Struthio camelus: one gene and its partner. The protein of the gene in region 1 binds, or shares a complex with, the protein of each later gene. Links are inferred from orthologs where the notes say so. Each region holds a gene or a part of one and is shown on either strand. Other genes may lie near its edges.

Evidence for each region.
Region 2: FAM8A1 (region 1) and UBE2J1 share a complex: the UniProt entries of both Homo sapiens proteins name them as parts of the HRD1 complex. The link is inferred for Struthio camelus from reciprocal best matches to the Homo sapiens genes FAM8A1 and UBE2J1.

What each region holds. Positions count from the first base shown.
Region 1 is NC_090943.1:99,898,131-99,902,040, forward strand, and holds the start of FAM8A1 (protein FAM8A1), read left to right. Parts: upstream 1-1,028; 5' UTR 1,029-1,142; coding exon 1,143-1,782; intron 1,783-3,910. UniProt on the Homo sapiens protein: Plays a role in the assembly of the HRD1 complex, a complex involved in the ubiquitin-proteasome-dependent process of ER-associated degradation (ERAD).
Region 2 is NC_090944.1:50,095,293-50,099,202, forward strand, and holds the start of UBE2J1 (ubiquitin-conjugating enzyme E2 J1), read right to left. Parts: upstream 2,531-3,910; 5' UTR 2,504-2,530; coding exon 2,401-2,503; intron 1,731-2,400; coding exon 1,657-1,730; intron 1-1,656. UniProt on the Homo sapiens protein: Catalyzes the covalent attachment of ubiquitin to other proteins. Functions in the selective degradation of misfolded membrane proteins from the endoplasmic reticulum (ERAD) and is essential for cells to recover from ER stress.

The DNA of each region.
Region 1 (3,910 bases):
TCCCGCCTGACCAGACCTGAACGGCTCAGCCTTGGACGGCGGAGGGGGCCGACGGGCTGGCGGCGCCCTCAGCGGGGGCGCGGGCCGAGCTCCCTGCTGCGCCGGCGAGCGCGGCTCCCCGCGCTGCCCCCGGGCGGCGCGACAAGCCGCTGCGGCCGCCTAAGGCGTTGGGGGGGGGGGGGGAAAGAGGGGGAGGAGGCCTCGGTATTTATATTGAGGAAGAATTAAACGTCTCCTATACGTGTGTTTTTGCTGGGAGACCTTTCGAAAGCGCAGGTTCTACTACGCTTGGGACTGGAGTAGCATGGCATTACTTCTCCTCCGCGCTTTGGGTCTTGTTTTTAGGTTTGCAACCCCGGCAGCCGCTTCCGTCGTCCCGTCCGCGGCGAGGGGGAAGCGACCCCTCGCACAGGGCAACTCACGACTCTTGCTAGCACGGGACGAGCGAGCAACGGGAAAGGCGCTTCCAGGGTACACGCTCAAACTGCCGTCAGCAGCAGCCAAGAAACCCGAGGCAGCGCCGCAGGGCAAGGAGAGCTCAGGGCAGGGAAGGTCTCCCTCCTCTCCTCCCCGCCCCGCGCAGGAAGGCGTGAGGGGAACATCTCCCTCAGCCCTCTCCTTAAGGCAAGGGCAAGGGGCGCGGCAGCGACCGCAGGGGGTGGCGCCTGCCCTGACGCAGCTGAACCTGTCTCGTAGGCAGGGCCAGCCCCCGCGGTGCGGCGCGGCTTGGGGAAAAAAGAGGCTCTACGTGTGCGTGGTGCGCGGCGCGGCCGTTAAGCCGCCGGGTCTCGCGTAAGGCAGCCCCGGCCCGAAGGGCTCGGCGACGCCAACCGCTGTAAAGGCCCTGGGCCCAGCGCGAGACCCCGCCCCCTTCCCTTCCTTTGCTCCCCTCCCCCTCGCCCTCTGCCTCAGCACTAGGCGAGACCATCTCACGGCGGGGGGAGGGGGAGGAGAGAGAAGCCTTCCTGCCTCCTAGCGAAGCTTGTTCTTTCCTCGCACAGAAGCAGAAAGGGGACCACTGGAGGGTGGTACGCTCCTCGCCGCGGAGGGCCCCTGAGGGGCTCTTTCTAGGTTGTGCCCGCTTCTCCCCTCTCCCCCTCTCCGCCTCGGCGAATGGGAGAGGCGAGGCGTCGCCCTCGCGCATGCGCCGTGAGCGCAGACGCTCAGTGTCAGAGGGGATGGAGGAGATGGCGGAGCCCGGCGCGGAGCCCGGCGCGGGTCGGCCCGGAGCTGGGGCGGCGGCAGCAGCAGTAGCAGCGACGGCGGGGGGAAGCAGCGAGAGGAGCGACAGCGGCGCGAGAGGGGAGGCCGCGGCTGCGTCGTCACTCTCGTGCTCCTCCTCCGCAGCCGTTGGGGGCGACGGCGGGGAGGCGAAGGCACTGAGCGCGGCGGAGTACGCGCGGCGCGTGCACCAGTGGCTCTGGGACTCCTACTGCGGCTACCTCAGCTGGCAGAGCTGTCTCCCCGCCCTGCTGGCCGCCGCCGGCCCCTCGTACGCCGCGGGCCCCGGCCGCGCGTCCTCGCCGCCGCCGCCTCCTTCCTCCTCCTCCTTCTCTCCTCCTCCTCCTCCGCCGGGGGCAGCCGCCGCTTACTACAGCCCCTTCTACGTCTTCGCTCCGGCGCCAGCCCCCACAGCCACCGCCGGGCCGGGGCCCCGCGCCGCCGCGGCCCCCTCTTGGCAGGGAGCGGCGGGCAGGTTGGCCCCCCTGCCCAGGGCTGCCTCCAGCGGCGCCGTCGGCGCCGGCACCAGCGGCGCCCCCCGCGAGGCGGCGCGGCCGGCAGGTGAGAGGGGCCGCGGGGGTGGAGGGGGGGGGGATCGGGCCTCGCACCTCGCTCTCCGCGCCCTGGGGGGAGGCGGCCGCGTCCCTGCTCAGCCGCCTCCGGTCGCGCACCGGGGTCGGCGACGCCATCCCCGGCGGTAGTGCTGGCTCACGGCTCGCAGCACCTTCTCCCTTCTTCGCTGTTTTGGGCTCCTCCGGCGCAACTCTTGGAGGCGGCATGTCGAGGAGGAAGCGAGGGGTTTTGCAAGGTTGGGGTGCGCTTCTGTGGGCGGCGGACCTGTCATGCGAAAGGTGACAGCTGAAATACTGAGTTTGTAAATCCACAGTTTATTCAGTGAGTAGATTTGAGAGGGTTGACTTGCATTTGCCGCTTATTACTTTGATATTTGTGAAGTGTTTTAATGGATAGGAAGGAATTTTTTTTTTTTTTTTGCAGTAAAACTCATTCTGGTATTGACAGGACCATAGCTGTTCATGAAGTGTCTAGCTTTTTAAATAGTCTGTTTGGATGAAGAAAGCTAAACTAATTTTCTCTGTTTGTTTTAGTGGACTCTTGGTGCTCAAAATCATTTAAATGAAACTGAAGTAGAGAGATTAAAATATGCTTACATGCTAGTGACAGGACCTGAAATAAACAAAAATCTGTTATGACTTAGACAGCTTTAGCAGTGGAATAACCTTGCTTCTGTTTACATTTGTTCGAAAGTAAAACAAACTTTTACTGTGATCTCATCAGAAGGAAAAACTGGAACACAAACATTTCTTGACAAACTCTAAGAGTGCCTAGATGACATTCCGTGAATGTTTGGTAATACCTTGAGTAATGGCAGAACACTGCTAAAGGACTTTGGAAAAAAGCCAGATCTCCTTTCTTTCTCTAGGGCAAACTACAGCATTACTGATCTGTAACATTATTTCTAAGCTCAGTGACTGAATGTGAGGGGAGAAATTTTCTGTTTCTCCTTCATTTTAAAAGGAAGGGAATCTAGCTCCCAAACTTGCTGCTTTGTTGTGGGTTTAGGCAGATGTTGTTTCAGCATGGTTGTAACACAAAGTAGTATTTTTTTTAAATTATGCCCTGATTTATATATTGCTTATGAACAGCTATTACTAGTCACTGGAAAAGATGATGTGGACAAAATCTAGACTGAAATAACTCTTGGATTTTTACCTAATTCTTCAGGAACTAATATCACATGCTAAAGGTAACATAGGGTATGAATAACACTCCGTTCTGCTGAATGTGGCTATTCTCAGTGCTAAATATTGTTGCAACACCCAGACTTCCAAAGGGAATTCTTTGCATGATATAGTGATATGATAGAATTATAAACAAGCACTGTTGTGCCAGTGCTTTGGCTCCCAATTGCATATGGATTTATCTGGAGCAGCTAAAGCGATTACAGCTCCTTCCCTTCTGCTGCAGGTGATTGCTCACTCAGCAGAGTTGGTAGGACAGGACTTATATCCATCCCTAAGCCACTGTGGTTTACAGTCCAGTGTGTGCACGTAAACCGAACTAAGTGACGGTTTATGTTAATATTGCAGATCTTAACTAGGATGCCCAAAAGGGGAATTAAACTGTTTCTTCCTCTTCAATCTGCCTGTGTGTCAGTTCAGTATCAGTAGCACTCCGGGCAGTACCAGGCCTTTGGTGGATTTAGTCATCATTTTTCAAGATGTTTCCTCCCCTCATCCCTCTTGATTTATCCTCCTTGCCTTAGTGTAGGAGATTACTGCTCTTATTCTGGGAACAGCGGAACAAAAAGTGTGTTCAAGCCTCAGCTGCCTTATTTTACTGTCTGGCTGGCTAAGTGCAAACCCATCTTTGTTACTAGGTTAATGTCAGACTTTGAGCTGAGATGGATGCATGTTTCATTCAGCTGTCCCTCCAGTACAAATAGTAACTCCTGACAAAACAGTGGATTTCTGATGCTGGGAGTATATTAAATGGCTGCAATAGAAATCTGCTAGAGTTGAGGGGTTATCAGAGTTTCTTAATGTAATGGAGTTTAACATAATTCGGATGCTGATTTTCATGGTCCCAGACACTTCTTCCTTATCCAGTTATTGTTTCAGTCTAATAGTTTCCACTGAAACTCTTAGCACATTCACTGAAGTTAGTGGCA
Region 2 (3,910 bases), on another chromosome or scaffold:
CCAAATAGAAAAAAAAAAAAAAAAAAAATCAAACGGAGAACAGGACAGTCAACACTGTACTAAGGTTCTGATTAAAAGGATGAAATATCGTAACTTCAGGTAATTTTCTTACAAAATGGCTTTGTTGGAAAATTCAAGTTTATCATGCAAGCTTTTCACAGGAGTTGTACCAATTATGACAAAAGTTTTATTACCTGAAAGATGGAAAACTCAGGATCAAACAAGGGAAAGCTGGGTCTTTGCCCCAGTGAATAAGAATTTCTACAGAATTGGGAACAGAACCACCCAAAATGAGAACATGTAAAGACAGTCTCCCCTCTGAAAGCCCCTCCTATGCCCAACACAACACAGGGCTTTGACTCTGGCCCTATAGAATTCCCATTCTCTTTTGTTTCTCCATGAAGAATTCTGAAAAAGCTATCTTGCCTTACTGCATAGTAGGCATGATTTGAAATTTGGAACATTTTCATTGGACACGTAATTAACTTCTCCTTAAGTATTATTTCTTTAGGATTCTGCATTTGGCTTTCCATATCAGACCTCCTGACACCCACAACTCACAAAAAAAACCTCCTACTGTTATCATAGGAGTCCAATGAGGCCTGCTGTCAGTGAATGAGATCTCATGACTCATGCTGAATGTTAGCATCGCAGGGCTGTGACAGCCCATCTAGTTAAAAATTTTTTCAAGGACAGAGGGAACCGTCAATATTTCCAGCCTGTCTTTTTATCTGTCTCTCACTGCTCTCTTCCCAGTGAGTCACTGTTTTTACCCTGAAAAAAGACCTTCATGCAAGTTACTATTGACTGACAGTATGAATTAAACCTTGCATTTCACCTCAGGAAGAAGAGGGCGGGAAGAAAACAAGATACAGACAAAAACTGGTCAATAATAAAGTATATTTTACAGTACCGAGAAACATGCACCGTGCTCTAAGTATGCTGTGTGCTACGCATTTCTGCGAACAGTCAAATCAAATCCCAAAATTGACCATCACAAGACATTACCTTTTTAATATTCTAGCAGAATCAGAATAGGTTTCCTTTTAGACTTCTAGCCACCAGAATTTCACTGCTCTCTCAGCTCAGAAACTTAACTAACTGTTTAGAGGACCTCAAAGTAGTACCTATCTGTGGCGGAAACCAAGTGTTCTTTCTTACAAGTCAGTGCATCCATGGCAGACCTGTACTCATTTAAAGGTCTTTCATGCAGTTTTTTGCACTCAAAATAGGAAGTCCATGTAGCTCATCTAGTTTCAAGTGTTTTGTTGAGCAACTCAGTAACTGAACCAGATATCAAGTTGAGCTTTACACGCCCAAAACTAAAACATAATATATTTATGTAGACTCAGAGCCTCAGGAGGGTGAGAATAAACACATTACACCCATGTGATGCAACTGCTCAGGTGCAATGTAAAACCATTACTATCACGTACTCTCATTAAGAACCTGGTTCCATAATACCATTAGATGTGGAATTCTACCACTGATTTCCATCTTAGGAAAAAATGCCAAAAGAATGGAATTAATTTTAAGAAGGTGTATTAATATCTAAAAATACAAACAAGTTTTTAATATATATGCACACAGAGAACTTAGAGTATATATATTACACAGGCTAATGACAAGCTCCTGCAAACATACGGAGAAACAAACCTCCAAAGGTTGTGCATGGTAATGATCTGTAGGATCCTTCAATTCTGCAGCTTCTTTCATTAAACGTTTGACAGCTGGAAAAACAGAAAAATGGGGACAGGAAAATAAAGAAAGAAATTACTTATACATACTGCATAAAAAATAACAAGCATTTCTTGAAGGGCTCCTTTCCGCTAACTCATCTTTTTCAGCACATCACACCTTCTTCACATGAGTTAATAATCCAAAACAAGATAAATTACTCACGCCGAATAATGATTTAAATGAGCCATACAAACACAAAGTTATGGAAAATATGTTCCATGGTTAGACTTTCTCAAAAGAATGCCTCAACACTGAGATTAAAATGATGTTAGATTATTAATGGCACCAATGATATGAGGAAAACCATAAATGTCATTAACAGAGTTTCAGTGTTTTAATACAAGATGTACAAGACCTACCCACCCTAACATTTGATCATCCTGAGTATCTCTGAACAACTGCTGAAAAGCTTTACCCTGACACCTCATGGCAGTGTTACATGACTACTCCCTTACTTATCCAAAGGGGTTAAAATAAGACTTGAGAAAAACTGGTATATTGGGAAGTGCAGGGAGATGCCGTATGCTTTATACTAGACTATTTGAAAACACATATGCCCAGTCAGAAGAATTTACCTAGGCCTTTGCATTTCAAACGAGCTAGTGAATGTGGACACACAGGTGTTCATCCTCCTTAAAATTCAGGATGGGCTGTAGTTACCTCTGCAGTTGTCTTCCATTTCAGAACATGCAGTATTCTCCGTATTTTCTGCATCTCCTTTCTCCTTCCCCTTCAGGAAATTTTGTTCCATCACTTGTCCCATCACTTTGCTCCGTGCACATCGTGCACTAACTCCTAATAAAAAGTCAGCTACACTGAAAAGAGGATTAAACCTAAGAATCACAGACAAGAAATCCAAGGATGCCACCTCAAGAATGAAGTTAGGTAGAAAGTCTTTACTCTCGCCTGCTTGCTGGGAAAAGTGAAATAAAATACTTGTGAAAGTCCCACTCACATAATTGCCTAACTGTGAAGAAGGAGAAACACCATCCAAATTCCCTTTCACAATAGCTTAATGGTAATCCTGAAAGTGAAACATAATTCCTCGATTTACAAAGTCTGGCATCACCATCCAACCATCACTTACGCACTTTCGAAACGCTGTGAGGGAGGCTATTCTAAATTCCATCAGAATAATTTAAATTTCTATCTACTGTGAGAAGTTCTCCTGGCTTCTTCTTCCTTTGCAGTTCTTGAAAGCTCTAACCAACAGCAAAAGTTCAAGAATTTCACCTCTTACAAACTGAAAAGCAAGCAGACTACACCCAAATTTGCTACTGCTTAATTTTCAGCTAAATTTGCTTAATTCTTGTACTGCCAGAGCAAGGTGTCAATAAAATACACTGTAGAACACATGAGATCACCTAGCAGATAGTAACATCCAGGATCCACTGAAAAATGTTTCATCTCTCATCTGCATTAAGGTTTACCCGTTCATTAGCAAGGAATAGTAAGAAAACCAGCCTGAACCAGAAACAGCTTCAGACCTGGAGCTGCTTCACAGCTCTGGATACTATCCTTTCAAAAAAAAAGAAAAAAAGAGAAAAAAAAAACAAACACCACAAGCTAACTCAGACCTGGGCGCTCCATCAAGAACAAAAGGCTAACCATGAAAAGACTGAAAACACATATAAAGAAACCTAACAAAGACAAGACAGAACAGTTCTGGATTACAATGCAGACAACTCTGTTACTAAGCTTTCCTGGACCAGGGACCAACCTAGAAAACAAATACAGTTCTCCTTTAGTAACATTGTATGCGGTTACCCTCGGTAACTGACGAAAAGCTAACTATTACAGCAAAAATAGTTTTCAAGACTGTTCTCCAGAAGACTACTGACACTCCGGGAAAGGCTTGCACCCAGCCCTTCTGACTTATTCCAAAAGGGACAGCCTTTTGGCTACTTAGATACAGGGCTGAAAGTCAGCAGCAAGAGTCAGAATTAGAAAAAATAAGAATTTGCACTAAGAGGGAACCAAGACAGCAGACAGGCGAGGAGCTCAGGCAGGAGGGCTCCTCTTAAGTAGTGTAAAGCATTCTGTTTTAGATGCTTTTGTACTTAATTAACATTGATAGCAATACTGTATATATTTTCTTAAAACACTACCTTACTGTCAAGAAGCCAGACTACAGGTATTTCATGCTAAGAAGTCAGCATAAAATATGCTG